Stegostoma tigrinum: one gene and its partners. The protein of the gene in region 2 purifies or fractionates together with the protein of the main gene of each other region. This does not show direct contact. Links are inferred from orthologs where the notes say so. Each region holds a gene or a part of one and is shown on either strand. Other genes may lie near its edges. The genes, in order: SWI/SNF-related matrix-associated actin-dependent regulator of chromatin subfamily D member 2, arid1b, ss18 and zinc finger protein ubi-d4 B-like.

Region 1 (6,993 bases), on a different chromosome or scaffold from region 2:
TCAGATCCCCTATGTCAACCTGCCCCTATAACACAGACCAAGATACAGCTCGCATTTCTAATCCCAGTCTCCCCTTACCTGTAATCCAGGTATCCTATTTTCCTCACCCACAATTCAAATGCTTTATATGTAAGACAGATCCCCATCCCTTGGCTTCATAATTGAGAGCCCCTTTTTGCCCTGTCTCTGTAATCTAGATCCCCAACATTCCATTGTCCCCATCATCCAGATCTCTCATCTCGCCTGTGTCTCTTGAATCATACAGTCCTAGATTCAGACAGCACAGAAACAGAGATAACAAAGTGTGAAGCTGGATAAACACAGCAGGCCAAGCAGCATCTTAGGAGCACAAAAGCTGACGTTTCGGGCCTAGACCCTTCACCTCTCTGATGAAGGGTATAGAGCTTTTGTGCTGCGTTCATCCAGCTTCACACTTTGTTATCTCAAATTCTCCAGCATCTGCAGTTCCCATTATCTCTGAGCACAGAAATAGATCCTTAGTCCTACTTGTCCACTCTGACCAAGTTTCCCAAACTAAATCAGCCTCACTTCAAAGAAGGCTCCCTAGGATGGGACTATTGTAGGGCCACTGGGAGGTGGGGAATCTGGATTGTAGAGATAAGCAGCATGTGGAGAACCTCAATTATAGAGAGAGGGGGTGTACGGGATCTAGAGGGACTGTCTAATGAGCAAAAGCTAAACAGGTTGGGACTCCAGCCCTTGCAGTTCATTAGAATGAGAGGTGCTCTCATTGAAGCTTACTGGATTTTAAGGGGCTTGACAGGGGAAATACTGGATGTGAGTTTGCTCGCTCAGCTGGAAGGTTAATTTTCAGACGTTTCGTCACCATTCTAGGTAACATCATCAGTGAGCCTCCGATGAAGCGCTGGTGTTATGTCCCGCTTTCTATTTATCTGTTTACCTAAACAAATAAATAGAAATAGATAAACAGATAAATAGAAAGCGGGACATAACACCAGCGCTTCATCGGAGGCTCACTGATGATGTTACCTAGAATGGTGATGAAACGTCTGAAAACTAACCTTCCAACTCAGCGAGCAAACTCACATCCAGAAACTCAACCTGAGCTACAAATGTTCTCAAAACTCGCTAGGGTAAATACTGACAGGATGTTATCTCTCACGGTAGAGTCCAGGATCAGCCTCAGAACAAAGGGGCACCAATTTAGAACGGAGATGAGGAGGAATTTGTCTCTCAATGGTGAGTGTGTCTTTGGAACTCCTTGCCACAGACAGCTGTGGGGTACAGTCCTTGTGTATATTTAAAGCTGGTGATCAGTCGGGGAATCAAGGGATACAGGGAAAACGCAGGAAAGCAGAGATGAAGAATTAAGTTTCAGCTATGATCCCACTGAAGGGTGTAGGAGGGGGTGAACAGCCTAATACAGTTCCTATTTCTTTCAGTTTTGCAATTCTAGTCGCCCTGTCTCTGTAATCCAGATACATCCCCACTTGTACAATTCAGTTCTCCTACATGTTTTTCCCCTGCAATTCAGAACCTTTACCCCAGCTTGTGTGCATAAACCAAACCCCCTAATACCCCTCTCTCTATAATCAAGGTTCCCCACATGCTCCTGCTCTCTACAATCCAGATGCCCCAAACTCCCAGTGGCCCTACAATAGGAGGCATGTGATGGCGCTCATGTGCCTCTCCTCTCTTACAGTGCTGACCACGTGTAAGACCATAGTCCGGGAGGCGGGAGGGTGGGTATTTTGCAGTGATCTTGGGGGGTGGGGGAAAGTAGGTAGGCTGCAGATTGAAGCGGAGACCCCGGGTTTCCGGGGTCAGGGGGATGAGGGTCCAAGCGCCGAATCTCCGCAATCGCGGAACAAGGTTTCTCGATGCGACACTGAATGCGGAAGTAATGCGAAACGGGAACAACAACACACACACAAAATAATTCAGCAGGGAGGATCGGGAGGGAGCTTTTAGGCCGAGTTTCACTGTAATTTCAACCAGCAAAACAAGAGGGCTAGGGTGTCTGCTTGGGGTCAGTTCCTTGCCAATTTGATAAACACCAGAGAAAAAAATAGCAACTAACTCTTTTATTCAACAAAAAGAGAGTCACCTTTAGAGCTATTTCATATCTCTTGCACGTGTCTAAACCACATGTTTTTTTAAAGAAAAACTACATTAAAAATTAATCTCATGTGGCGCCGCCACATCAAGTATTTAATTCTAAAGAAGTCAAGAAACATAATTACAGAAAAAGGGGGGGGAAAATCGATGACTAAATAAAACGGTGGTTTCCTTTCTGATTCTGGGGCCGGTTTCAGTGCTTTCCGATCGATCGGTGCAGATAAATAAGGGCAGAAGTTGGAAAGTTTTGCATTGCTGGTGAGCAGTGGGGTTTGGAGGCAATTACTCACGTTGTAAGCGCCGCCGGGACCCATCGTCCGGAAGACTGGAGATTGCTGCTGGAGGTTCAGTGGCATCCTGACCGCTTGTCCTGGCATCACCCCCAAGGAAGGATTCAGGGGGCTCCCTGGGTTCAAGGGGTACCCTCCGCCTACTCTTGTCGCCATTTTTTCAAAGTGTATACATAAACAGACACATGCATGTAATATATATATGTATATGTAGATATATGAAAACAAAAGACAATCTCACTCGGCGCTAACAACTCTTCCTCCAACAAAGATCCCAGCTGTCACTTGGTACAAGTCACTCCTCCAATTGGTTGCCACAAGCCTCCGCGGCTCAGGGAGAGAGGTCTCCGGTTTCACCCCACGGCTATTCCTTACCGGCTACGTTAACGCTTTCTTTTCAAAAAAAACAAGAAAGCACACACATAACATTTAACAACAGGCACAGAGGTGGCAATGTTTGGTGTCATCATTACCCATGAATCTGCTGGAGAGCTATAAGCCCCCACTCTGCTGGCACTGACACATTTTCTAAAGTGCCTCAAAACCAACAAAATGTCTAAAGATAAAGATCAGAGTGTTTTTCTCCCCCTCGCTACACTCTTGTTTGTTGAGAGCTACGCCTCCCGCCCACTTCTGTGGCTTTGGCAGATGGGTGGGGATTGCTCAAGCAGGTTAGCAGGGAACTCAATAGACCGCGCGCCCTCTACCTACTCAGTAGGAGCACTTCACCAGGCAAGTCTAAACATTGTGCTGTCTATAGCAAGCAGGAACTCAGCCTGCGCCAGGTAAAGTGCAGTCTTCAGTCAGCAGCACCTCTGTTAGAATGAACTCTTTGCCTGGCAAAACAGACAAATCCAACCCTCATTTTCTTAGTTATTTCTCGCACCTTGTTGACTCTTTTTAGAAAATACCTTTATTCACCCATGGGGTGTGGGCTTCATTGGCTGCGTCAGCGTTTATTGCTCATCCATATTTGCCCTGGAGAAGGTGGTGGTGAGCACTGTCCCCATTAAGTGGTCACAAATTTGCTCAGAGGCTCTGTGCACGCCAACTCGTACTGACTACCAAATCCAGAAGTTGGAAATTTACAGGTAATGTAGGTGGTGGTGAGCTGCCTTGAGCAGCTGCAGTCTGTTGGTACAAGGATGCTTACAATGCCATTAGTGAGGGAGTTCCCTGGATTTTGGCACTGAAGAAATAGCGATATATTTGCAAGTCAAGATGGTGTGTGGTTGGAGGGGAACTGGCAAATGGTGGTGTTCCCTGGGATCTGTCGTCCTTGCCCTTCTAGAGAGTTGCAGTCAAGGGTTTGGATGGTTCTCCCTAAGCAGCCTTGGTGAAGTACTGCAGTGCATCTTGTAACTGGTACACACTGCTTCCACTGAGCATTGTGGTTGAAGGACTGAACTTTGTAGATATGGTGCCAGTCAAGTGGGTTGTTTTGTTGATGGTGTCAAGCTTCTTGAATGTTTTTGGAGCTGCACTCATGGAGGCAAGTGGGGAGTGTGCCATCAGATCCTGAATTATGACTTGTAAATGCTGGATAGGCTTTGAGAAGTCAGGAAGTAAATTAATTGTAAGATTCAAGGCTTCTGATCTTCTCACAGTCACAGTATTTGTATCACTAGTCCTGTTCAGTTTCTGGTCAATGGTAACCCCCAGGAGGTTAGAATATCATTAGCATTTTACAAGGCATAATGATGTATTTAATAACAGAGGAAATCTTTACAAATACTGGTTATAGGACCTGAGGTTCCTTTATCCCAGTACTATGAACAGAAGTTCTAAAATGCCTTCTTCCTGAAAACCAGACACTTAGGAAGAAATGACTGACATTTGAAATGTACCTGTCATCACCTCAGGACATCTCAAAATGTTTTACAGAGTACTTTTGAATTGTAGCCACTCCCCAAACATGGCAGCCAATTTGTCTATGTAGCGATCACAAGCAACATGGAAATAAATAAGCAGGTATTTTGATTTTAAAAGATATTGGTTGAGGAATAAATGTTCAGAGTATCTAGTGACAGTCTATATTCAGCTACATCCACCTGACACTTTTGTACAGCGCTAGGGGGGTATTGCTCTCAACAGCCACCGTCATTCACACAAGGCCTTAAAACTCAGCTCTATCTGCTTTCACAGTGGGGTATAAAACATCACTTGGCATGATATTGAAAACAAGCAAGGATGCCTTCTTAGAGATAATGGGAACTGCAGATGCTGGAGAATCCGAGATAAAAAAGTGTGGGGCTGGACGAACACAGCAGGCCAAGCAACATCGTAGGAGGACAAAAGCTGATGTTTCAGGCCTAGACCCTTCATCAGAGTGGGGGATGGGGAGAGGGTTCTGAAATCAACAGGGAGAGATGGGGAGGCAGATCAAAGATAGATAGAGGAGAAGATAGATGGAGAGGAGACAGACAAGTTAAAGGGGTGGGGATGGAGCCTGTAGAGGTGAGTGTTGGTGGGGAGGTAGGGAGGGGATATGTCAGTCTGGGGAGGGCGGACAGGTCAAGGGGGTGGGATGATGTTAGTAGGTGGGAAATGGAGGTGTGGCTTGGAGGTGGGAGGAGGGGATAGTTGAGATGAAGAACAGGTTAGGGAGGTGGGGACGAGCTGGGCTGGTTTTGGGATGCAGTGGGGGGAGGGGATGAGCTGGGCTGGTTTTTGGAAGGGGAGATTTTGAAGCTTGTGAAATCCACAGTAAGGTGAGTGTAGGTGGGGAGGTAGGGAGGGGATATGTCAGTCTGGGGATGATGGACAGATCAAGGGGGTGGGATGAGGCTAGTAGGTGGGAAATGGAGGTGTGGCTTGGAGGTGGGAGGAGGGGATAGTTGAGATGAAGAACAGGTTAGGGAGGCGGGGATGAGCTGGGCTGGTTTTGGGATGCAGTGGGGGAAGGGGAGATTTTGAAGCTTGTGAAATCCACATTGATACATTGGGCTGCAGGGTCCCCAAGCAGAAGGTTGCATGAGTTGCTGTTCTGCAACCTTTGGGTGGCATCGTTGTGGCACTGCAGGAGGCCCAGGATGGACATGTTGTCTAAGGAATGGGAGGGGGAGTTGAAATGGTTCGCGACAGGGAGGTGCAGTTGTTTATTGCGAACCAAGCATTGGTGTTCTGTAAAGCCTCCAAGCCTCCGCTTGGTTTCCCCGAGGAAGCCACAACGGGTACAGCGGATGCTGTATACCACATTGGCAGATGTGCAGGTGAACATCTGCTTGATGTGGAAAGTCTTCTTGGGGCCTGGGATGTGGATGAGGGAGGAGGTGTAGTGGCAAGTGCATCCCCACCCCGTTAATTTGTCTGTCTCCTCTCCACCTATCTTCTCCTCTATCCACCTTCGATCCACCTCCCCCTCTCTCCCTATTTATTTCAGAACCCTCTCCCCATCCCCCTTTTCTTATGAAGGTTCTAGGCCCAAAACGTTAGCTTTTGTGCTCCTAAGATGCTGCTTGGCCTGCTGTGTTAATCCAGCTCCACACTTTGTTATCAAGGATGCCTTCTTCCCAGTCTGATGGGCTTTTACAATTGCATATTATTTGCTCAGATATCTTGCTAGGGCTCAAATTCCCAACTTTCTGACTCAGAAGTGAATAGACTAATAATGAGTCCCAGCTTATCTATGTAATCTGATGGTGAGAAACAGGAACTCTCTGCCTTGAAACAAATCAAGTTTGAAATACTGTCGTGGCAGTCAAATTTTAGTCATTGGTAGTTAAAAATTGTGACCCAATCTTAAAAAAGTCTATATGCTGAAATAAATGACTATATCCAATTTTATTTATTCCTAAGTCCATCCTTGGTATTTACTTAATGTTGAAAGTCCTGTGCAGTTGTTTGAAACTCACCAACTGTAGTCTGCCCAGACGACCAGCAAATCTAACATTTTTTGTTAATTATATTTTTACATTTTTATCAGGGACCATCAAATAACGCCCTTCTTTCATTTGCAAGCAAAGTTTGCTCACAAAGCAGGCAAATCTAATATTGCATGGTCATAAGGAACCCTCAAGACAGATTGATTCCCCATATTTAATGTGCAACACCAAAAGAAACTCTCAACTTGGCCTAAGCATGGAAATATGATTGATCTATTACATACTAGATCATAAAATTCTTGTGGATGAGAAAGCAGCCTGTTCAGAAAAGTGTTCCCATTGCAGCATTTAATTGTCTTTTTTCATCTATTGCTTTACCTGGACACATAACGGAATAAAATTTTCTGATATCAATTGTATAATTACCTTTTAACAGTTTGTATCTGTAAATTCTGAATTTCCCTAGAATTCAGATCCCTGACTTTTGGCTGAGCCTTGTGGTTCTAATGTGCAGTGCTTTCAGCATGTGAATGTTTTTTGTTGGGATCTTGGCAGCCACACCTAGATGCAGTTTTTAAGGTGTGGTGCGAAGTGTGTTTCAATCGCAACATTTTCTGATCTCCATTCTACAATTTTGGCTACGTAGCTCAACATTCTGATGGCATTGTTCATGACTCCTCAGCCTTGGAAATACTGTCAATTACATTTGCTGAGATGACTTGATCTCTTTCAGCTTCATCTTTAACTCTGCTAACACCAAACTTGGAATGCATGCAATG
Region 2 (7,094 bases):
CTGGTTCAGAGGCAAGTACACTATTCTGTTACACAAGAACCGCCATGCCATCATTTAACAACCCGACTACAACTACCACCATACCATTGGCACGGAATTGAACTTATGGGTCTGTATAGTTATACTGAAGCATTTACCATGAGCAATCAGACAAAGAGATTTCAATTTAATTAGAAAAAAAGGAAATATAGTTCACAAAGTTAAAGTTCTAGTTTTTAATATTGCTACAATTGGTGTGGAATCAAAAGCAATAACAATTATGGTATTTTACAATAGTAAATTGCTCTATATGCAGTACTTCCTGGGCAATACTTACAAAGCAGTTAATTTTCTTTGAATGAACTAACCATAATACTCATTTGTATAGATTTCACTTAATAGATATTTTAAAATAATACTGTTCTAAATTACTTCTCAATTCATCCAACAAGCTTATCCCTTGATTACACAGAACAGGTTCTGAAGTGTACGGAATATCTATTGCTGTTTCATTAAAGTTACCAACGCTTATAATTAATGGCTGATTTTAGTAAATATGCATAAGCTGGTTATTCCAGAATATTTTAATATGTCAACCGCTTGTTACTAAACAAGTGTTTCACTGCCAAAGATGGTTTATCGAATCAAACACATTTTAAAAATGGAAATTTTGATATTTAAGTGCAACTGGAATGTCGAAGGGAATGAAAGTTGAAGCGGTGTTGATTTCTCTTAATGATCCATGCGCTCTGTAAATTGTGCGGATTCTTAGGAAACGTGCAATGTGGGCTTACGATTGCGACGTTCAGGAACTTGTATTTACATCAGCACTGATAAATGCCCAGTGGTGAGTGTGAGAACCAATCAGATGGCAGATTAGATGTCAACTCGGAGGCAGCTGTCTAGAGACTCGATTCCAGGCGTTTTACCTCCATAATTCAAATTGCAAACCTTGCAAATGAAGGTGAAGAGATTCGAATACGAGCTGAATGGACCTACCAGTTTTCATACACCATGAAACAAAAATCAACCCGAGCAGCCTGGAGGGTAAAAGTAACTGAAATGGGTGGGGTCAAAAACATACCGAATAGCAGTTTAAATTAACAAAAGGAAACTTAACTGATTTATTTAATCTAGAAGTAACCTAACTGGAAGTTATCAGTTCAGTGCATAAATCCGCACAGCGGACACCCATCGCTAGGGGTAGAAAGCACAAACTCTCTGCATACGGCGTATCCCAAGAAAAAGAGTCGCTAAAACTCTCTCCTTGCCAGTAAGAAGTCATATGAAACGTAGCGCGGCCTAGGTCCCTGACCAGCAGTTGCACGACTTTCTCTCTAAATATCTTCACATCGCACAACGCCAGCTCCATTCTCCCTTCAGGGAGAAAGACACCGACAACACAGGCCGCTTTACCTGTGTCCTGCCCAGAGGCTGCGCCGAGCTGCCAGGGCTCATGGCCGTGTGGCTGCGGGCTTGTCCTGCTCCGCCGCCACCACCACCACCTCCGCCTCCGCCTCCCCAGGGTTGGCTGCTGCCTACTCCGTATTGACTGCCTATGTCGTTCCCTTTGAACGAGGTCTGCGAAGGGCCGGGATTACTGTAGTCCGGAAAGCCATATCCCCTCATGGGGCTGGGGGAGGTCAGTAGCTGGTTGAGAGTTGGCGTGGCCCCCGAATGCTGGTTTTGGCCTGAGTAGCGCTGAAATGCCCCGGCCAGAGGCGGCTGCTGCTTGCCTTGATGGTGGCCGCTGTTGGTGGCCCCACTGGATCCCATATTGTTGGCCCTGGGAGAGTTCATTATGCCGTAACCAGGGCTGCTGTAAGCCGGCCTGTACCCCGAGTAGTGGTTGTAGTTGTTGGAGTAGCCGTCGTGAGAATTGTGTAGCGGGCTGGCGCTCAGCTCCAAGCTGCTGGAAGGATGAAGCCCAAGCCCCGGGCTTTGTTGTCCGCCATGTTGATCGAAGTAGGGTCCTGGACCGGGGCCTGTTCCTGCCGCCGCCGCCCGGTAATAATAATTATAATCGTGGAGGCCAGGCGCCGGCTCTGCTTGAATATTGGAGCCTGCCGGGTGCTCATATCTCTGATCGCCCATTTTGAGCAATTGGTCGTCGGCCTTATTATTGTTGCCCTGGTTGTCAGCGCTTAACAAGATGTTGTCTTTCCCACCACCGCCTCCATGTTGAGTCTCTGCCCCGCCGCCTCCTTCTCCTTGATGATGGGGAGGAAGCAACAATTCAGCGCCGGTGGGTTTCAGTTTGTGATTGGGAATTATCCCCGCCTCACTGGCGGCCGAAGATGAGGAGGAGGCGGTGGACGCCGAGGAAGGCGAGGCTGAGGCGGGTTCTTTGTGCGTTGGCTCTGGGTTCGGGTTGGACGAGGCCGACCCCGAGCCTCCAGCAGCGCCGCTGCCTCCGCCGTTGTTGGCCGGACTGGGGCCAGGCCCCGAGGAGTTGGCCATGGTGAGCTCGCCGTGGTGCTGCTGGTGGGGAAGGTGGTGCTGGTGGTGGTGGCGAGGATGGTGATGATGATCAACGCTGTTTAGGTTCAAGCCGCCGCCACTGGGATCTCCGCCGTCACCGCCGAGTCCTCCTACCGGAGCCGCCGGTTTTCCGTTGTTGACGCTGTTTGGGTCGGGGCCGCTCAGGCCGGGGCTACCACCGTTGTTGCTACTGTTGGCCGGAGCTGCTGCTACTTGAGCAGCCATGATCATCTCTCAGAAAATCAGTCGGAGAGCAGGGAAAGACACAGACACGTCTGCTTCCTTTTACACCCGATCATTAAATATTATTAAAAAAGAAAAAAAACTTGTCCTCCTCCAGTTTGAAAGCAAAAGAAAAATAGGCTCACATTCTCTTCTGTTGCATGGTGATTATAATAATAAATTAAATTCTATTTTCTATTTTTGTTAAATAGGTAGAAAACTTTCTCCAGATCTGTTTTAAAAATCAAACTTTCCTTTCCTCTCTAACCCGGATATGGGTAACTACATGTCTAGCTGAGCCTCTGGCCCAGCATGGCATGAGGACTCCAACAACTATTATCCATTCCTCTGATTACTGCATATCAACTCGAAAACACGGGCTGGAACCTGTATCTCTCCCATACTGCACAATCTAAATGCAGTGACGTTTATAATTGTTTTACTTTCTATGTTGTTTAAAAACATGAATTCTAATTTCCTAACCTGTTAATATGTATAACTTACCATAAACTATTGGCAATCATTTCTATTTGATGAATAACAACATTAATTTAAACCTATGATTCTCTTAAGTTGCCATTTATTGTAATCTGTAAACATAGTTTGTATTAATTGTATCTTACCTTAATGTGTTATAAAATTGACCCACCAAACAAAATGCTCGTTATCAACTAATTCAAACTTTGTTTCCCATTTTAAAAAGCATCAGTCTTCATAAGATGATATGGTAGTTGTCGATTCTCTGCATATCCCAAAAACGTCAGCTTTTGTGCTCCTGAGATGCTGCTTGGCCTGCTGTGTTCATCTAGCCTCACACTTTGTTATCTCTGCATATCCCATTTCATTTTGAAAACAATTTAATAGATTTATTACATTTTCTCAATACTTATCACAATTAACATTAGTAAGATGAGATAGTAAGAGCTGCAGATGCTGGAGAATCTGAGATAACAAGGTGTAGAGCTGGATGAACACAGCAGGCCCAGCAGGAAGACTGACGTTTCAGGCCTAGACCCTTCTTATTGCTGAAGAAGGGTCTAGGCTCGAAACGTCAGCCTTCCTGCTCCTCTGATGCTGCTTGGCCTGCTGTGTTCATCCAACTCTACACCTTGTTATCTACATTAGTAAGACATCGTTTTAGACCAAATTCTTTTTAGTATTTCACTTTCCAAGCATGACCTGTGTCTCCTTTCATTGTGCGTGTACCAGAACGTTCCAGTCCAGTTCTTGCCTCTCTCCTAGCCCCGGGTTCAATCTATTTCTCTCTAGCCTCAGAGTTAGACATAATCACAGGATCACTGGAATCCTTACGCTATCAACTTATACACATCAGCCAGCATCCGAATCAAAATTCAGCCAGCAAAAAAAATCCTGCAAAATCCACTTATCCCAGACGTGTGTGGCAACTCACATCTGAGAATGAGGATTAACAAAAATCAAGGAAAAATAGCACGGACTATTTTCCCTAATGTGTCCTTTCCTTCAGAGTAACGAACAGCATTCCTAGGTTGAAGCATTCTCTACTCTGCTCAGTGCCTATTTGCTGTTCCTATATACTCCCACTGGAGATCTTTTTACATTGAAAACAAATTTGAAAATTCATTATTTTTAATCTGAAAATAGTATGTGTTATTTATTTCTATTTGTTGTATTCAGATACCGAATCCCATTTCTGAAGTTTTCACTGAGATCCTATCAGTATTTTTTTCATGTACCTCATGAGAGGGAGTTGCTTGCAATTGCTTCACACGCATCAATAGTTGTCAGTAAAATCAAACTGACGTCAGTGCTGAGTAAAAGATATGTCCCTTTTGTTCTCCGTTTTCCCACTCTGCAATCCAATAATTCAGACGCTTGTAAAAGGAATCCTTATTGCAAATAAATTTTAAGTTTGCAATAATGACCCAGCGATGTTTTGCGCGCATTAAATAGATGTAGCAGTCTTTTTGATCTTTATGTCTCCCAGCGTCAATTGGGTTCAGTTATACCGGAAGGTTAGTTGCAAATCCTGGCTGATCTGAAATTCGATCAACAGACGCAAGGGGCAAAAAAAAGGCATTTCAGTGCAAATCGATGGATTGATGACGCGCTCGAATCTTTCAAACACATTATTCGACATAAAATGCGCAGCGATTTCATTGAATTTAAACAAATAATGAAATTATAGCAAGACGGGTAGAATCTTGTCGAGGGAGGAAACTTAATTCCTTCAAACAACCATATTATGGTGTGCTGTGTACTTCTGGCTGCAGCGCGGAAGTAATTGCTTAGACAGCACAATTTAACTTTTAAAGATCAAAAAATAAAATTAACATTTTCTTGTAACGGATTCTTCAGTGCAATGTAAAGTTGTACACATTTTAAATCATACATTATTTACAGTCAATAATCATTAACATCCTCCGCACCTCACTGACATGAGACATTTAAAGAGATTCTGTTTATTTCGACAGATTGCAAGTTGTTGTCATTGCTCATATTTGTATACAAAGAAGGTGTTTTGTTACAGAATACATTTCAGGAAGTGCAAAACAACAAACAATTTCTGCCATGTCCATGTCATTTTGTAAAAAAAAAACAATTTTTAATATCAAAAGATTAAAGAATGGAAGAAAAAATAATCCATTATAACTTGGAATATCACTGCATTTGTCAGATTTCTTTGAAATCAATACATCAACTTTATTCATGTTTGTATAACATATTTCTCTGTTGCTTACTGGAAGTCTATAGCACTTTAGACATATTAAAACATCCCAAGATGTAACTATTGGAGTGTAATGAGTCAAAATTTGACATCAAGAAACATAAGGTGATATTAGAGAAGGTGATTGAAAGCTTTATCAGAAATAGGTTTTAAGGAACACCTTAAAGTGGAAAAAGAGGAGAAAGGAATATCTATTTAGCAGGGACTTAAAGACTTGTAATGACATTTCTGATTAGAATATACCATTAGGGCCTTGCACAGCTGAAGACATTGCTGGCAATAAAAGGCATTTCTTCAGCCAGAGAGTGGTGGGCCTGTGGAATTCATTGTCATGGAGCGCAGTTGAGGCCGAGACGTTAAATGTTTTCAAGGCAGAGATCGATAAATTCTTGATCTCACAAGGAATCAAGGGCTACAGGGAGAGTGCAGGGAAGTGGAGTTGAAATGCCCATCAGCCATGATGAAATGGCAGCGTGGACTTGATGGTCTTATATGCAGGTGATTTAGTATGTATGGATTTCAGTAAGTCCTTTGACAAGGTCCCACATTGGCAGCTGATAATACAAATAAAAGCATATGGAATTTAGGGAAAATTGGCATGTTGGATCCAAAACTGGCTTCTGGTAGGAGGTAGAGTGTGGTGGTAGAAAGCTGTTTGTGTGACTTGGAAGCCAATGTGCAGTGGGGCACTGTGGACTCCAGGGTGTGTGGGCTGCAGTCAGTTTATTCAGTTAGCTAAATGATTATTTTGTAAGGCAGAATAATGGCAGCTGTATTAGTTCAATTCCTGCATCAGCTAAGGTTACCACGAAAGTCTCTCCTTCTCAACCTCTTCCCCTCTCCTGAGATACAATGACCCACACGTTAAACTACCACCAGTCATCTCTCTCAGAGCAATCCTGTGAACCGGTAGGACTTTTGAGATTTTACCTTACCACAGAGATTAGTGCAGGTTTCCCTTTATTGTTTGTGATGTACAGACAATATATATGGAAAAATTTGGGGGAATGGAATTAAGTTTGTGGATGACATGAAGTGGCTGGGTGATTGAGAATAAGGAAGAAGATCTTGGGTTACAAGAAGATATGGACAGATTGGTCAGATCAGCAGACAAATGCTAGATGGAAATTAACCCTGTGAGACATGAGGTGTTAGGCTTTGGAAGAAGCAAGAAGACAAGGGAGTGCTTGTGAATGGCAGGAATCTAGTAAGTTCAGAGGAACAGAAGATCTTGGAATGCTTGTCTATAGATCCCTGAAGATGTGAGATCAAGTTAAAAGTGTAGTTAAGAAGGCATATGGGATACTTATTAGTCATGACATAGTTTATAAGAGCAGGAAGGTTATGTTGAAACTGTATAGGACTGTGGTCAGACCACATTGGAGTACTGTGTGTAGCTCTGGTCACATGATAGGAATGATGTGACTGCACTGGAGGGGATGCAGAGGAGATTCTTCCGGATGTTGCCTGGGATGGAGTAGTTTAGTAATGAGGAGAGTCTGGATTTGATGGGATTGTTTTCTTTAGAGCTGAAAAGGCTGAGAGAGAACCTGATTGAGGTATATAAGATTATCCCAGACGTGGACAGAGTAGATAGAACGCAGCTGCTCCCTTTCATTGAAGGGTCAATAACAAGAGGGAGTAATTTTAAGGTGAAAGGTAGGAGGCTCAAAGGGGATTACATAGAACATAGAACAATACAGCT
Region 3 (7,556 bases), on a different chromosome or scaffold from region 2:
ATCGCATTAAAAAAATTCAATAGGAACTTCTGAAAGTGACAAATATGCAGTTAAGAGTCAACTACTTTGCTGTGGTCTGGAGTATAGCTTTAGATTCTAGATTTTTATTTATTGAATCTAAAGTCTACCAGCTGCTGTGATGGGATTTGAACTTGCAACCCCATAGCCTGGTCCTCTGGATTATAGTTACACCCTAACTATGAACCATTTGCCTCTGAAAATCTGCATCTAACATGTTGACAAGGAGGAATAGGTGTAGGCCATTCAGCCCTGCAAGCCTGTTCTGCCAATCAATGAAATCATGACTGATCTGTGACTTAACTCCATGTACTTGTCTTTGACCCACAGTCATTAATAATTTAGGTACATTTTTGTTAAGTAATTTGTTTATGTTTTCCTGTTAACATCTTAAAGGCTTCGATCAGATCACCCTCAACCTTCTAAATTCTAGAGAAAACAGTTTGTATAATCTCTCCTCATAACTTAATGCCTGAAGTCCAGGTTTCATTCTGGTAAACCTACATTGTACTCCCTCCAAGACCTGCATATCCTTCCTGAAGTGTGTAGCCCAGAATTCAGCACTAGATTTCAGGTGAGGCTGGAACAGTGAGTTACTGGCTGAATGAGTTGTACTGTTTAAGCTTATTTTAAAAAGGAGGGATCCTTTGTGCCTTTCCAACCACTTTCCCTCCTTGCCTTGCAGAAATGGTGCACTCACCAATCCCCAAATCCTGCGCAGCCCCTTGGAGAATAAGGGCTTTCATTTCATCGCAGAGACAATACAGTGTGGAGCTGGATGAACACAACAGGCTAGACAGCAGAGGTGCAGGAAAGTTAACGGTTCGCGTCGGGACCCTTGCTCGAAACGTCAGCTTTCTTGCTCCTCTGATGCTGCTTGGCCAGCTACGTTCATCCAGCTCCACACCGTGTTATCACACCCCTTCTTCAGCAAAATTGTGTTCTTGTTTTATCGTGTCCCTTTGCTTTCCTCAGACTTCTCCACATCACATTTCATCTGCATTAAAACAGGTCGAACTGAGGAGGCTGTAAATCCGAAAGTTCGGAAGGGTGGAGATAGTCACTGGACCCAAAAGGTCAACTGATTTCTCTCCATAGATGCTGCCAGACCTGCCGGGTTTTTCCAGCAATTTCTACTTCTGTGTTAAATTTCAGCTGCCCCTTCCAGTCGTGTCCTCTCCAAGTCCATGACTACCCTCCTCGCGTCCACAATATTTCGTTTCATCTGGACAATTTTTAAAAATTGCGCCGTTGGCCAGACCGAGTGTAACCGAGCTTCCCAGACTTGGAATTGCCAAGCTAGGATTTGAACTCAAGTCTCCAGCTGAAACGGCTAGGCTTCTGGGTTTAAACCTGCCCCAGCAACATGACCCAAAACGTAGCCCGTGACTTGGCAAAATAGCTCGGCTGCGAAGAGACAACCCAGAGGGGAAATGCCAAGGGAGGAACGCGAAACAGGACAGGAGTCAAACCTCAACTGTGCAAAAACTGCTATTTCCAGCACAATAAACAAAAACGCAGGAGTACAAGTAAACATCTCAGCTCAGAACAAACGAAAAAAAAGCAGTGACCTTGTCGTAAAATTGATGTAACAGAAATTCCCCCAGAACGTGTTACTCGCTCAAGCTCACACATCAACTCGAACAATTAAAGTTGGTTGAAATGAATAGAAAAAAAAACGTGAAATCAAATCCATCAGCAGATCTGAAGTATTCTTAAGGGGTGGAGAAAAGGGGAACATTTCAAATCCAACCAGACATTGCAAGAAAAAAATAACCTCGGAGAGAGAAAAAAAAATTACTGGAGACGGATTAAAAGTTAACTGCCAACCCAATTGTACTTATGAGAAAATGATCATTTCCTGGCGCTTGTGAATTTCGCTGAGCGAGGTTGGACTTAGGAATGAGGCTGTAAAAGCTTCAAGAAGCTCTGGGGGAGGGGGGGGGGAAGACAAAGAGAAAAAAAATGTTCTCCCAAAAACAGTTGAAGACCTTCATCATGGCCGCGAGAGCAAAATTCCCCCTCTCTGTCAAGCATTTTTTTCGTATCTGGGTGAGTGTATAGGAACCCCCTCTCCCCACGGAATCTTATTTTTAAAACAAAATACACAGGGAAGAAGAAAATGGTTTTTGTTCCCCGTTGAAGCTTAACGGGACTCTACGAATACAAAGGCTTCATGATCTGATGCCCCCTCCCCCCCGGTGTGTATGTATAGGTTACATTGTTGCACGCCTGCTACAATGTAACCCTCCAGTGTAACAATCTGAGCGGATACATTGTCGCAACGTTCCAAAACTCGCTACATTACCTTCTGAATGGCGGCAGGTGTAATTTCACCTTTCCCGCGTTGCCGGGGAGTAGCAAAAGCAACCGACATCGTGCTCTGCTCTGTGTATGGAGTTGAGTCTATTTCTCACCCTTCCACTCCTCTCTTATTTCTATTCTCCCCCCCCCTTCACTCCCTCCCCTCTCTTCACCCACACAGCATACAGAATGCAGCAGACATGGTAGCAACTCCTCCTCCTTGGAAACAGGCAGCGCTCTTTTTCTTCCCTCTTCAAAGAGATTCTACTATATTTTTTAAAAAAAATCTCTCGTAGCTGTGGGAGGAAGGGGAAACGGCAGAGTTTACACCCCTCCTCCAGCCCCAACACTAAAAGGCGTAAGGTAGAAAATGCACACCAGGGCTGCAGCAAGAAGTTGTCAGCAGCTGTGCAAGGAGACAAAGAGGGCTGCAAGTGCCTGCATTATTCTGATCCAGTGCATTTTCAGTGACTGGGGAGACAGTGCAGTATTTTGGGTGCAATTTCTAATGAATCAGTCAGCTGAGGATCTCCCCCATTAATGAATGAAGAATTCCGGATAAACTCCTGCCAGTTACACTGCAACCACTGGGGATTTTGTGGATTCAACAGCAAGCAATTCCTACACAGAGTAAAGCAACAAATCCGAATTGGGCCAGAGTAGGACATGAAATGCTTCCCACGAATATAACTACCGTGTACTTTACTAATCAATAAAGCCAGACATTCCCAGGCCTCTACAGTTGTCCTCAGTACCCACCCTCCCCTCTGGAGACAAATGGTGCATTCCTTCTGGTTTCAAGACCAGAATCTGGAACAGGGAAGCGACTTTTTTTTGGCAGTGATGCAACCAAAGTTGCAACGAAAATAGATGTTTTTCAACATGTTCAATCAGTAAAGGGGGTCAATTAATTTCAAGATGCATAATGTTTGCAGTCCATAGATGTTTTTTCTGTCAGATCGCCCTGATGTTATGTAGCTGGATTTCGTCCAATCCTCCCCCTCCTCTTTGTGGTTTCTTCCGGCCTGAGGCCATATCAAACTATACCCAGTAGTCGGGAGAGGGGGTGAGGAATACCAATGTGTAGAATACACACACTGTCCCACCAAATATACGCAACGAACAAAAGAAAATTGAAGAATAATTAATAACTTCCTTTCAAAAATGGGATTTTCGTTACTGATGCTGCGCGTTAATAATATAATGGAACGAAATGATATTACCGCCCCTCCGGAGAAGCTGTTTAATTGGTGAAGTCCATTGGCCACAGCTCCGCCCCTTCCATGAGGGCGTGCGCAGTGGAGTCCTTTAGTTTGGCGGCTGGTTCGAGCGCGCGCGTGCGCTGTGCCGGCGGCCGGCTCGTGCGCGTGCGTTGCGCCTACCGTCCGTTTGTGCGCGTGCGTTACGGCCGGTCTTGGGCGGGGAGGGGGGGTGGATTAGTTGACCGCGGCTATGGCGGCTCGCTATGACCGAGCCATCACTGTGTTCTCTCCAGACGGACATCTCTTTCAAGTGGAATACGCGCAAGAGGCCGTGAAGAAAGGCTCGACAGCGGTGAGTCTGTAGTAGAACCGCCCCACTCCGGGAACAGTGACAGCCCCCAGGGACGGTGACCCCGCGCGCCCCCCCCTCCCACTCCCCCCCCCGGGACAGTGACCCCCACACGCCCCCTCCCTCCAAGGACAGTGACCCCCCTCCCCCCCCGGGACAGTGACCCCCCCTGCCCCCCCCCCCGGGACAGTGACCCCCACACGCCCCCTCCCTCCAAGGACAGTGACCCCCCTGCCCCCCCCCCACTCTCTCCAAGGACAGTGACCCCCACACGCCCCCTCCCTCCAAGGACAGTGACCCCCCTGCCCCCCCCCCACTCTCTCCAAGGACAGTGACCCCCACACGGCCCCCCCCGGGACAGTGACCCCCACACGCCCCCTCCGTCCAAGGACAGTGACCCCCCCACACGACCCCTCCCTCCAGGGAGAGTGACCCCCTGCCCCCCCGGACAGTGACGCCCCACACGCCCCCTTCCCCGGGACAGTGACCCCCCACGCGCCCCCCCCCAAGGGACAGTGACCCCCACGCGCCCCCCCCCAAGGGACAGTGACCCCCACGCGCCCCCCCCAAGGGACAGTGACCCCCACACGCCCCCCCCCTCCCCAAGGGACAGTGACCACCCCTGAAACAGTGACCCCCCCCCCCACACGGGATGGTGATCACCCATATTCCTTCTTTGCCCCCTCCACCCCCAATTAGGGACAGTGATCCCCCACATCTCTCCACACATCGCTCCCCCCCCCCTCCCAGGGACAGTGGCACCCCCCACATGCTTCCTCCTCCCCTGCCCCAGCACAGTGCCCACTTTGCTGCTGCCCTATGCCAAGGGACCGTGCCCAACATTCCAGGGTGTAGGCGAGCACGAGGGGGCACAGCTTTAAATTGAGGGGTGAAAGATATAGGACAGATGTCAGAGGTAGTTTCTTTATTCAGAGTAGTAAGGGAATGGAACGCTTTGCCTGCAACGGTAGTAGATTCGCCAAATTTACGTACATTTAAGGCGTCATTGGATAAGCATATGGACGTACATGGAATAGTGTAGGTTAGATGAACTTGAGATCGGTATGACAGGTTGGCACAACATCGAGGGCCGAAGGGCCTGTACTGTGCTGTAATGTTCTATGTAAATGTTCTATCTATATGTAAACTGCTTGATCTCTCTTCATAAGACAAGCCCTTCATCTCTGGTGAAATTCAGGAGGTCTGGCAGCAACCGTGCAGAGAGAAACAAATGATCAATGTTTCAGATCCAGTGAACCTTCAGAAGGGCCCTGAAGGAGTGTCACTGGACTCAAAACGTCAACTCTCTTTTTTTTAAACTCTTCACTGGTGCTAGACTTTCCCTGGCAATTTCTGTTTTTGAGTAAATCTCCTTTGATCTGTGTCTGAGACAACTACCTTCTTCCTCAATTAAGTGACCAACATTTTACATAGTATCCCAGATGTAATCTTATAATGCCTTGTCTAGTTGCAGTAATACTTATCTACTTTTATATTCTATTAATTTATGAACAAATGCCAAAGTTCTCTCTGAAGTAACCTAGCAAGATATTTACTTGAACAGAGTCAAGAGTTTTTACATCTTGGAAAGAGGGCCTTCACCTATTGCATTTATGCTAGTTGTTAAACCTCCATCTCTTCTCATTCCATTTCTATGGCCTTGTTTGCTGTGGCATTTCAAGTTTTCATCTTGGTATTACCTAAATGTCTCAACTGTTCCTGCCTCTACCCTTTTCAGAGAGAGAGTTCCAAACACCCACAACCCTCTGAATTTTTTTTCTCAAATCCTCTCTGAAGGTCCTGCGCTTGAGCTGAAAAATGTGCCTTCTGGTTATTAATCCCTCTACCAAGAGAAAATGTCTATTCCGAGCTATGCTGTCTATGCTCCTCAAACTTGGGAGACTTCACTCAAATCCTGCCCTCGGCTTTCTCTGCTGTATGGAAACCAACTTCACCTTATCTTGTATCTCTTTGTAGGTTAATTGTTCCAGTCCAGGCAACATCCTGGTGAATCTCCTCTGCACCCTGTCTCGGGCAATCACATCCTTCCTATAATGTCCTGCCCAGATCTTCTCTCAGTACTCCAGCAGTGGCCCAACTAATCTTGTATACAGTTCCGACATAACTTCCTTGCTCGTCTTCAATGCTTTGGCTAATGAAGACAAGTATCCCCTAAGCAAACCATGTCTGCAGTGTCATGCAGTCCTGTAAGTTTTTTTTCCTTTCGGTTACTCACTCACTGTGCTTACTCTTCCCGTTTTGAAGGTTGGGATTCGAGGTAAAGATATAGTTGTTCTTGGTGTGGAGAAAAAGTCTGTTGCAAAACTTCAGGAGGAGAGAACAGTGAGAAAAATCTGTGCACTTGATGACCATGTCTGCATGGCATTTGCAGGTATACTTTGGGATTTCCTTCTGGGGCTTTTTAATGCAACTTAATTATATTTGTTTTATTTTATTATTTGTTTTCTAAAAAATGGCTGAAAAAATATCAACAAGGTTGAGGAAACATCCATCATTGAAATTGTTTTTGGATGTGACTGTTTGAACGCCTCAGGCTCTAATAACTGTCACTGTTTATGTGTTCTCCAGAATTTGGAAAGTTATTGGGACTCCTTTAAGATATTGACAGGAAAGGTCAGAGTTAATAACAATGAACTATTTCTACTGATTGGCAATTCTAGAACTCGGAAGAGTCTGAGAATTAGGGCCAGGCTATCCAGAAGAGATGTTAGGAAGCACTCCTATACAGAAAGGTGATAGATGTTTGGAACTCTCTTCCACAAATGGCTGGTATGTTAGATCAGTTGTTAATTTTTAATTTGAAATAATTTTTTGTGAAGCAAAGGTGTTAAGGGACCTAGGCTAAAGGCATGTATTTGAAGTTAAGCCACAGACCAGCTGTGAGCACATTGAACAGTGAAATGGGTTGAAGGGGCTGAATGGTCTACTCCTGTTCCTAAGTTTCTGTCAGTGTCTCATATCATCTTTTCCCCAAAGAAATAACTTGCATTTCAGTCAGTGTTGATGATGTTTATGGCTGTAGACAGGTATGTGGAAGTGGGTTGTGTTGAGAAGGGTCAACAAGTTCAGCTCTTATTCAGTTAGAACAGGGGACCAATGCTGACTGCAGGACAGCAAAGCCTTTGACAAGGTGCCACAGGGGACACTGATGAACGTAGAAGCATGTAGGCTTGGCAGGTTGGACCCAAAATTGGGTTAATGGTAGGAGATAGAAGGTGGTGCTGGAAGGCTGGTTGTGCGATTGGAGGTCGGTGTCCACTGGCGTTCCACGGGGATAAGTGCTGGTCCCTTGGGGAGGTAACAGTGTAGTGCAAGGTTATTAATCCAAAAACCCAGATAATCCCGCATGGCAGATGGTGGAATTTGAATTTTATTTCACAAACAAAATCTGGAATTAAGTCTGATAGAAACAGAGAAGACAGGAGCAGGAGGAGGCCATTCAGCCCTTCGAGCCTGCTCCACTATTCTTCACGATCATTGCTGATCGTCCAACTCAGTAGACTAATCCTGCTTTCTCCCCATAACCTTTGATCCCATTTGCCCCAAGTGCCGCCTTTTGAATATATTCAGTGTTTTGGCATCAACTACTTCCTATGGTAATTAATTCCACAGGCTCACCACTCTTTGGGTGAAGAACTGTCTCTCCATCTCCATCCTAAATG
Region 4 (7,599 bases), on a different chromosome or scaffold from region 2:
CCCCCTCTCCACTAACCCCCATCCCCACTCCACTAACCCCAATCCCCCCTCTCCACTAAACCCCAACCCCCTCTCCACTAACCCCCATCCCCACTCTCCACTAACCCCCAATCCCCCCTCTACACTAACCCCAATCCCCCCTCTCCACTAACCCCCATCCCCTTCTCCACTAACCCCAATCCCCCCTCTCCACTAACCCCAATCCCCCCTCTCCACTAACCCCAATCCCCCCTCTCCACTAACCCCCAACCCCCTCTCCACTAACCCAAATCCCCCCTCTCCACTAAACCCCATCCCCTCTCCACTAACCCCCATCCGCCCTCTTCACTAACCCCAATACCCCCTCTCCACTAACACCCATACCCACTCTCCAGAAACCCCAATCCCACCCCTCCACTAACCCCAATCCCCCCTCTCCACTAACCCCCATCCCCCTCTCCACTAACCCCAATACCCCCTCTCCACTAACCCCAATACCCCCTCTCCACTAACCCCAATCCCCCCTCTCCACTAACCCCAATCCCCCCTCTAGACTAACCCCCAACCCCCTCTCCACTAACCCAAATCCCCCCTCTCCACTAACCCCCATCCCCTCTCCACTAACCCCCATCCGCCCTCTCCACTAACCCCAATACCCCCTCTCCACTAACACCCATACCCACTCTCCACAAACCCCAATCCCACCCCTCCACTAACCCCAATCCCCCCTCTCCACTAACCACCATCCCCACTCTCCATTAACCCCAATCCCCCATCTCCACTAACCCCAATCCCCCATCTCCACTAACCCCAATACCCCCCTCTCCACTAACCCCAATCCCCCCTCTCCACTAACCCCAATACCCCCTCTCCACGAAGCCCCATACCCCTCTCCACTAACCCCAATCCCTCCCCTCCACTAACCACAATCCCCCCTCTACACTAACCACAATCCCCCCTCTACACTAACCACAATCCCCCCTCTCCACTAACCCCAATAACCCCTCCCCACTAAGCCCACATCCCCCTCCCCACTAACCCCATCCCCCCTCTCCACTAACCCCCATCCCCCCCTCCACTAACCCCAATACCCCCTCTCCACTAACCACAATTCCCCCTCTCCACTAACCCCAATTCCCCCTCTCCACTCACCCCAATTCCCCCTCTCCCCTAACCCCCATCCCCCCTCTCCACTAACCACAATTCCCCCTCTCCACTCACCCCAATTCCCCCTCTCCACTCACCCCAATTCCCCCTCTCCCCTAACCCCCATCCCCCCTCTCCACTAACCCCAATACCCCCTCTCCACTAACCCCAATTCCCCCTCTCCACTAACCCCAATACCCCCTCTCCACTAACCCCAATACCCCCTCTCCACTAACCCCCATCCCCCCTCTCCACTAACCCCAATCCCCCCTCTCCACTAACCACAATACCCCCTCTCCACTAACCCCAATTCCCCCTCTCCACTAACCACAATACCCCCTCTCCACTAACCCCCATCCCCACTCCACTAACCCCCATCCCCACTCTCCACTAACCCCAATCCCCCCTCTCCACTAACCCCAATCCCCCCTCTCCACTAACCCCAATCCCCCCTCTCTACTAACCCCCATCCCCCCTCTCCACTCACCCCAATACCCCCTCTCCACTAACCCCCATCCCCCCTCTCCACTAACCCCAATACCCCCTCTCCACTAACCCCAATCCCCCCTCTCCACTAACCCCCATCCCCACTCCACTAACCCCAATCCCCCCTCTCCACTAACCCCAATCCCCCCTCTCCACTAACCCCAATCACCCCTCTCCACTATCCCCCATTCCCCCGCTCCACTATCTCTGTCACTCCCTCCAGCCCTGACACCCCCTTCCTCTCTGTCACCCCCTCCAGCCCCTACACCGACTCTCGATCTCTGTCACCCACTCCCGCCCCCACACCCCCTCCCTATCTTTGTCACCCCCTCCATCCCCTACACCCCCTCCCTATCTCTTCACCCCCTCCAGCTTCTACACCCCCTCCCTATCTCTGTCACCCCCTCCAGCCCCTACACCCCCTCCCTATCTCTGTCACACCCTCAATTCCCAACACCCCCTCCTTGTCTCTGTCACCCCCTCCAGCCCCTACACCCCCCTCTATTTCTGTCAACCCCTCCAGCCCCTACACCCCCTCCCTATCTCTGTAACCCTCTCCAACCCCTCGACCCCCTCCTTATCTCTGTCACCCCCTCCAGCCCAAACACCCCCACCGTATCTCTGTCACCCACTCCAGCCGCTACTCCCCCTGCCAATCTCTGTCACCCCCCCACACCCCCTCCTATCTCTGTTACCCCCTCCAGCCCAAACATCCCCACCCTATCTCTGTCACCCACTCCAGCCCCCACACCCCTCCCTATCTCTGTCACCCTCTCCAGCCCCCACACCCCCTCCCTATCTCTGTCACCCCCTACACCCCCTCCCTATCTCTGGCAACCCCTCTGGCCCCTACACCCCCTCCCTATCTTTGGCACCTGAACCCCCCTGAATTTCTCTCACTGCTCCATTGGTGACTAAGCCTTTGGTCTCGGGTTTGAGTTCTGAGGAAGGGTCCCTGGAACCGAAATGTTTACTCTGATTTTTTTCCTTCACAAACGCTGCCAGACCCGCTGAGCTTTTCCGGCAACTTCTGTTTTTGTTCCAGCTGACTCATATTTGATTTGAGGGTCAGTCCTGTGAGCTGAGTCGTGATAGTTTGCTTATTATTGAATTACTGAGTGTTAAAGCAGGGCTGGCATAATCCCCTGCCCCTTCAGTGTGATGCCTGGGACAAAGGATTCTAGATGCTCAGTTTAATCAGCTATTTGAGTGCTTTTGCACAGGGAGGCTCTGGTCTGAGTTACCCTCCTCCCACCCCAGCAGCTTCCCCCCATCCCTCTGGCCTGCCCCACCGACAGAGAGTGGGTCACCGCTGAGTGCCAGAGTTGGGGCGTTGTGTTGAGTTTGTGCAGGACATTGGGGGCGCTCTATTCTGCAGCACCATGTGCATTTCTGGTGTCTCCATGTTTTCGGAAGGATATTATTGAGCTGTAGAGAGCTCGGGAGAGATGTACCGGGACGTCACTGGGAATCGGAGGGTTTGAGTCATAAGGAGAGGCTTGAAAGGCTGGGAATTCTGTCACTGGAGTGTAGGAAGTTGAGAGGCGACCTTGTAGAGGTTTATAAATATCATGAGGGTCATAAAGAACGTGAATAGTCAAGGCCTTTTCTCTAAAGTGGGCGAGTTCAAAACTAGGGGTTGTATTTTTAAGGTGAGAGGAGACCGTTTTGAAAAGGGCTTGAGGGGTAATTTTTTTACACAGAGGCTGGTTTGTGTGTGGAATGAACTGCCACGGGAAGTGGTGGGTGTGGGGGACTCTTACAGCATTTGAAAAAGACATCTGGACAGGTACATGAACAGGAAAGGGTTAGAGAGCGATATGGGCGAAACGCAGGCAGCTGGGACTGAGTCAGTTTGGAAAACAAGCTCGGTGGATGGGTCGGACCAAAGGGTCTGTTTCTGTGCTGTAGGACTCGGAGACTGAATCTTTTCACCTTAGACAGGGAAGCAGAGGGGGACTGCTCCCACTCAGCCTCAGAGGAAGGAAGGAGCAGCGACAGGGTGGACTGGCTGAGGGGAGCCAGTGAGTGTGAAATGGTCACTCAGTGCTGAGACTTGGTATCCTGACAAATCCCCATCACATTGACTCAACAATCAGCACAATCCGACCCTGCAGACTCAACGGGCTGAATGTCCTCCTGTACTCTTCTCTGATTTTCTACGTATCTGACAAATCTAAAGGTTGGAGGCAGCTCCTGCTTGTTTGTTTGCCTGGTGTGGACCTTCATAAATTAAGCTTTGGTACTGCGAAGTACCCTGTCTCTCTGTGGAAGAATGAAAGGGATCGACAATTTTGGTTTAATGGAAGTTAAAGGAACACGTTCATGCCATGAGAGTTCAATCTCTTGCAGGACAATTACTGCAAACCTGTTTCCTAAAATGCGCAACGTACTAGTGTTACTGAGGTCGAGCTGGCTATTTAATCCCTGCTTTGGTGCAGGCACATGGTAATGAGTTTTGACCCACATTTGTTCAATAAATCAAACATAACTAGATTCTGTGATTTGTAGTATTTCTAAAGCGCTGCCACCTGCTTTAAAAAAAAACTTCAGGTCTGTGCTCCTTCTTACAAACTTAGAGTGGACCTCTGTAAATTCCACAGCCTCTAACACCTCATCTTCACCATGGACGTCCAGTCCCTATACACCTGTATTCCTCATGCAGATGGCCCTCTGCTTCTTCCTGTCCTGCAGGCCCGACCAGTCCCCCTCCACTGACACCCTCATCTGCCTAGCCAAACTCGTCCTCACCCTCAACAACTTCTCTTTCGATTCCTCCCACTTCCTACAGACTAAGGGGGTGGCCATGGGCACCCGCATGGGCCCCAGCTATGCCTGCCTCTTTGTAGGTTACGTGGAACAATCCCTCTTCTGCTACACTGGCCCCAAACCCCACCTCTTCCTCCGTTACATTGATGACTGTATCGGCGCCGCCTCTTGCTCCCCAGAGGAGCTCAAACAGTTCATCCACTTCACCAACACCTTCCACCCCAACCTTCAGTTCACCTGGGCAATCTCCAGCACATCCCTCACCTTCCTGGACCTCTCAGTCTCCATCTCAGGCAACCAGCTTGTAACCGATGTCCATTTCAAGCCCACCGACTCCCACAGCTACCTAGAATACACCTCCTCCCACCCACCCTCCTGCAAAAATTCCATCCCCTATTCCCAATTCCTCCGCCTCCGCCGCATCTGCTCCCACGATGAGGCATTCCACTCCCGCACATGGACCCCTATTTCAAAGACCATAACTTCCCCCCACCCAGTGATTGAAAATGCCCTCAACCTCATCTCTTGTGTTTCCCACACTTCTGTCCTCACACCCCCTCCCCCCCAACACAAATAAAGACAGAAGCCCCATTGTCCCTCACATATCACCCCACCAACCTCCACATCCAAAGTATCATTCTCCGCCATTTGCACCAGCTACAATCCGAGCCCACAGCCAAATATATTTTCCCGCCCCACACTATCTGCCTTCCATAGGGACCGCCTTCTCCGCAACTCCCTCATCTGCTCCACACTCCCCACTAACCCCACCACCCTTCCCTGTACCCACAGGAAGCGCTATACCCCTGCACCTCCCCCCTCACCCCCCGTCCCAGGCCCAAAACAAACCTTCCATGTCATGGAGGGATGGATAGAGCTCTTAAAGATAGTGGAGTCAGGGGTTTTGGGGATAACGCAGGAACAGGATACTGATTGTGACAGGATAATGAATGGTGGTGCTGGCTCAAAGGGCCGAATGGCCTACACCTGCACCTATTGTCTATTGTCTATTAGATGGGGGTTCACCTGCACATCTGTCAACTTGGCTCCTGTATCTCCTGCTCCCTACGTGGCCTCCTCTAAATCAGTGAGACCAAGTGCAGACTTAGGGGCCGTTTTGTAGATCATCTGCACTCCATACACGACAAACGATGACTCCTTCCAGTTGCAAACCATTTTAACTGCCCCCCCCCCCCCGCCATTCCCTGGGTGACATATCCATCCTGGGCCTCCTCCAGTGTCACAATGATGCCACCCACAAACTGGAGGAGCAGAACCTCATATTCCACCTCGGGAGCCTACAGCCTGATGGCCTTAACGTCGAGTGCAGTTTTAAAATCTTCCCACACCCCCAGCCTCATCTCATGACCAACCCTCCCTCTCATTTCCTTGACCTGACACAACCTGTCCATCTTCTCTCCCACCCATCCATCCCCACCCATCCCACTCACCATTCCCCGCCACCATCTATCTACATCCACCTATCACCGTCCCACCTACCTTCCCCCAGGCCCACCCACCTCCCTCTGTTTATTTCTGAGCTCCCTAACCCCTCCCCAGTCCTGATGAAGGGTCCAGGCCCGGAACATCTGCTTTCCTGCTCCTGTGATGCTGCCTGGCTTGCTGTGTTCCTCCAGCTCCACACTGTGTTATCTCTGACTCCAGCACCTGCAGGCCTTGCTCTCTCCAAGTCACTAAAAGCCCCACTGCTGATGGTCATTTGCTTCAATGATTTGGATGAGAACATAAGGGGTATGGCTGGTCTGCCAAGATGTGGAGGTGCCCGTGTAGGACTGCGGTGGACAGAGGTCAGAAGTCCCAAGACACCAGGTTATAGTCCAACAGGTTTATTTGAAATCACAAGCTTTCGGTGCACAGCTCCTTCATCTGTTAGACTTTCACCTGGTGTCGTGAGGAAGTGGTGGGGGCTGGTACAGTTACAGCATTTAAAGGGCATCTGGACGGGGACATGAGTTGGAAAGATCGAGAGAGATGTGGGCCAAATGCAGGCTCTTGGGACTGGCTTTTGATATGGTAAGTTTACAGGTGAGTCTAAAATTGGAGATACAGTGTACAGTGAAGAAGGTTCCATCAGGGTACAATAGGGCCTTAATCAGATGGGCCGATGGGCCGAGGAGAGGCAGATGGAGTTGAATTCAGATAAATGTGAGATGCTGCATTTTGGAAAGTCACATCAGGGCAGGGCTTAATGGGAAGGCCCTGGGGGGTGTTGCTGAACAGAGAGACCTTGGGGAGCAGGTTCATAGCTCCCTGAAAGTGGAGTCACAGGTGGATAGGATAATGAAGGAGGCATTTGGTACTTGTCTTTATTGGTCAGTGCATTGAGTAGAGGGAGTTGGGACGGCCACGTTGTGGCTGTACTGGACATTGGTTAGGGCCACTTTTGGAAAACTGTGTTCAATCCAGGTCTCCCTGCTGTGGGAAGGATGTCGTTAAAATAGAAAGGGCTCAGAAAAGATTTACAAGGATGTTGCCAGGGTTGGAGGGTCTGAGCGACAGGGAGGGGCTGAATAGGCTGCAGCGATAATCCCTGGAGCTTCAGAGGCTGAAGGGGTGACCTTATAGAGGTTTATAAAATCATGAGGGGCATGGACAGGGTGAATAGACAAGGTCTTTTCCCCCCAGGGTGGGGGGGAGTCTAGAGGGATATAGGTTTAAGGTGAGAGGGGGAGGATGTAAAAGGGACCTGAGGGGTAACTTTTTCACACAGAGGATGGTTGGTATGGAATGAGCTGCCAGGGGAAGTGGTGGGGGCTGGTACAGTTACAGCATTTAAAGGGCATCTGGACGGGTACATGAGTCGGGAAGATTGCGAGAGATGTGGGCCAGATGCAGGCTCTTGGGATTGGATTTTGCCACATCCTTACACTGTGACCCCTGGTTCTGGGCTTCCCCATCACTGGGAGTATCCTTCCTGCATCTACCCTGTCTAGTCCTGTTTGAATTTTACAGCTATCTATGAGAGGCCCCAGTTTTGCAGCGACTCTAATTTTAACCAATTCAGTGTCTCCTCATATGCCAGCCCTGCCATCTCAGGAATCAGTCTGCTAAACCTTGGGTACTGTAGCGATAGGAACCAGCTGGATCTTGTTGGCTACAAGATCCTTGATTGGGCATGTTAACCCTGGGCCAATCAGGAGAGCCCTGGCTGACCAGTATAACCAGGGGATTTCTTCAGTTCCGGGACTGAGATCCGAG

The links.
Region 1: the proteins of arid1b (region 2) and SWI/SNF-related matrix-associated actin-dependent regulator of chromatin subfamily D member 2 purify together in Homo sapiens (affinity purification with mass spectrometry; 5 studies listed by BioGRID and IntAct, with this or other methods). This does not show direct contact. The link is inferred for Stegostoma tigrinum from reciprocal best matches to the Homo sapiens genes ARID1B and SMARCD2.
Region 3: the proteins of arid1b (region 2) and ss18 purify together in Homo sapiens (affinity purification with mass spectrometry; 4 studies listed by BioGRID and IntAct, counting the BioPlex papers as one, with this or other methods). This does not show direct contact. The link is inferred for Stegostoma tigrinum from reciprocal best matches to the Homo sapiens genes ARID1B and SS18.
Region 4: the proteins of arid1b (region 2) and zinc finger protein ubi-d4 B-like purify together in Homo sapiens (affinity purification with mass spectrometry; 7 studies listed by BioGRID and IntAct, counting the BioPlex papers as one, with this or other methods). This does not show direct contact. The link is inferred for Stegostoma tigrinum from reciprocal best matches to the Homo sapiens genes ARID1B and DPF2.

What each region holds. Positions count from the first base shown.
Region 1 is NC_081384.1:23,920,332-23,927,324, forward strand, and holds the start of SWI/SNF-related matrix-associated actin-dependent regulator of chromatin subfamily D member 2, read right to left. Parts: upstream 3,017-6,993; 5' UTR 2,547-3,016; coding exon 2,391-2,546; intron 1-2,390. UniProt on the Homo sapiens protein: Involved in transcriptional activation and repression of select genes by chromatin remodeling (alteration of DNA-nucleosome topology).
Region 2 is NC_081362.1:36,512,974-36,520,067, forward strand, and holds the start of arid1b (AT-rich interactive domain-containing protein 1B), read right to left. Parts: upstream 3,008-7,094; 5' UTR 2,692-3,007; coding exon 1,396-2,691; intron 1-1,395. UniProt on the Homo sapiens protein: Involved in transcriptional activation and repression of select genes by chromatin remodeling (alteration of DNA-nucleosome topology).
Region 3 is NC_081358.1:125,259,608-125,267,163, reverse strand, and holds the start of ss18 (protein SSXT), read right to left. Parts: upstream 3,023-7,556; 5' UTR 2,396-3,022; coding exon 2,327-2,395; intron 1-2,326. Other genes in the region: proteasome subunit alpha type-7, read left to right, coding at 3,775-3,876, 6,139-6,265. UniProt on the Homo sapiens protein: Appears to function synergistically with RBM14 as a transcriptional coactivator. Isoform 1 and isoform 2 function in nuclear receptor coactivation. Isoform 1 and isoform 2 function in general transcriptional coactivation.
Region 4 is NC_081395.1:3,497,570-3,505,168, forward strand, and holds the start of zinc finger protein ubi-d4 B-like, read right to left. Parts: upstream 3,017-7,599; coding exon 2,922-3,016; intron 2,567-2,921; coding exon 2,487-2,566; intron 1-2,486. UniProt on the Homo sapiens protein: Plays an active role in transcriptional regulation by binding modified histones H3 and H4. Is a negative regulator of myeloid differentiation of hematopoietic progenitor cells. Might also have a role in the development and maturation of lymphoid cells.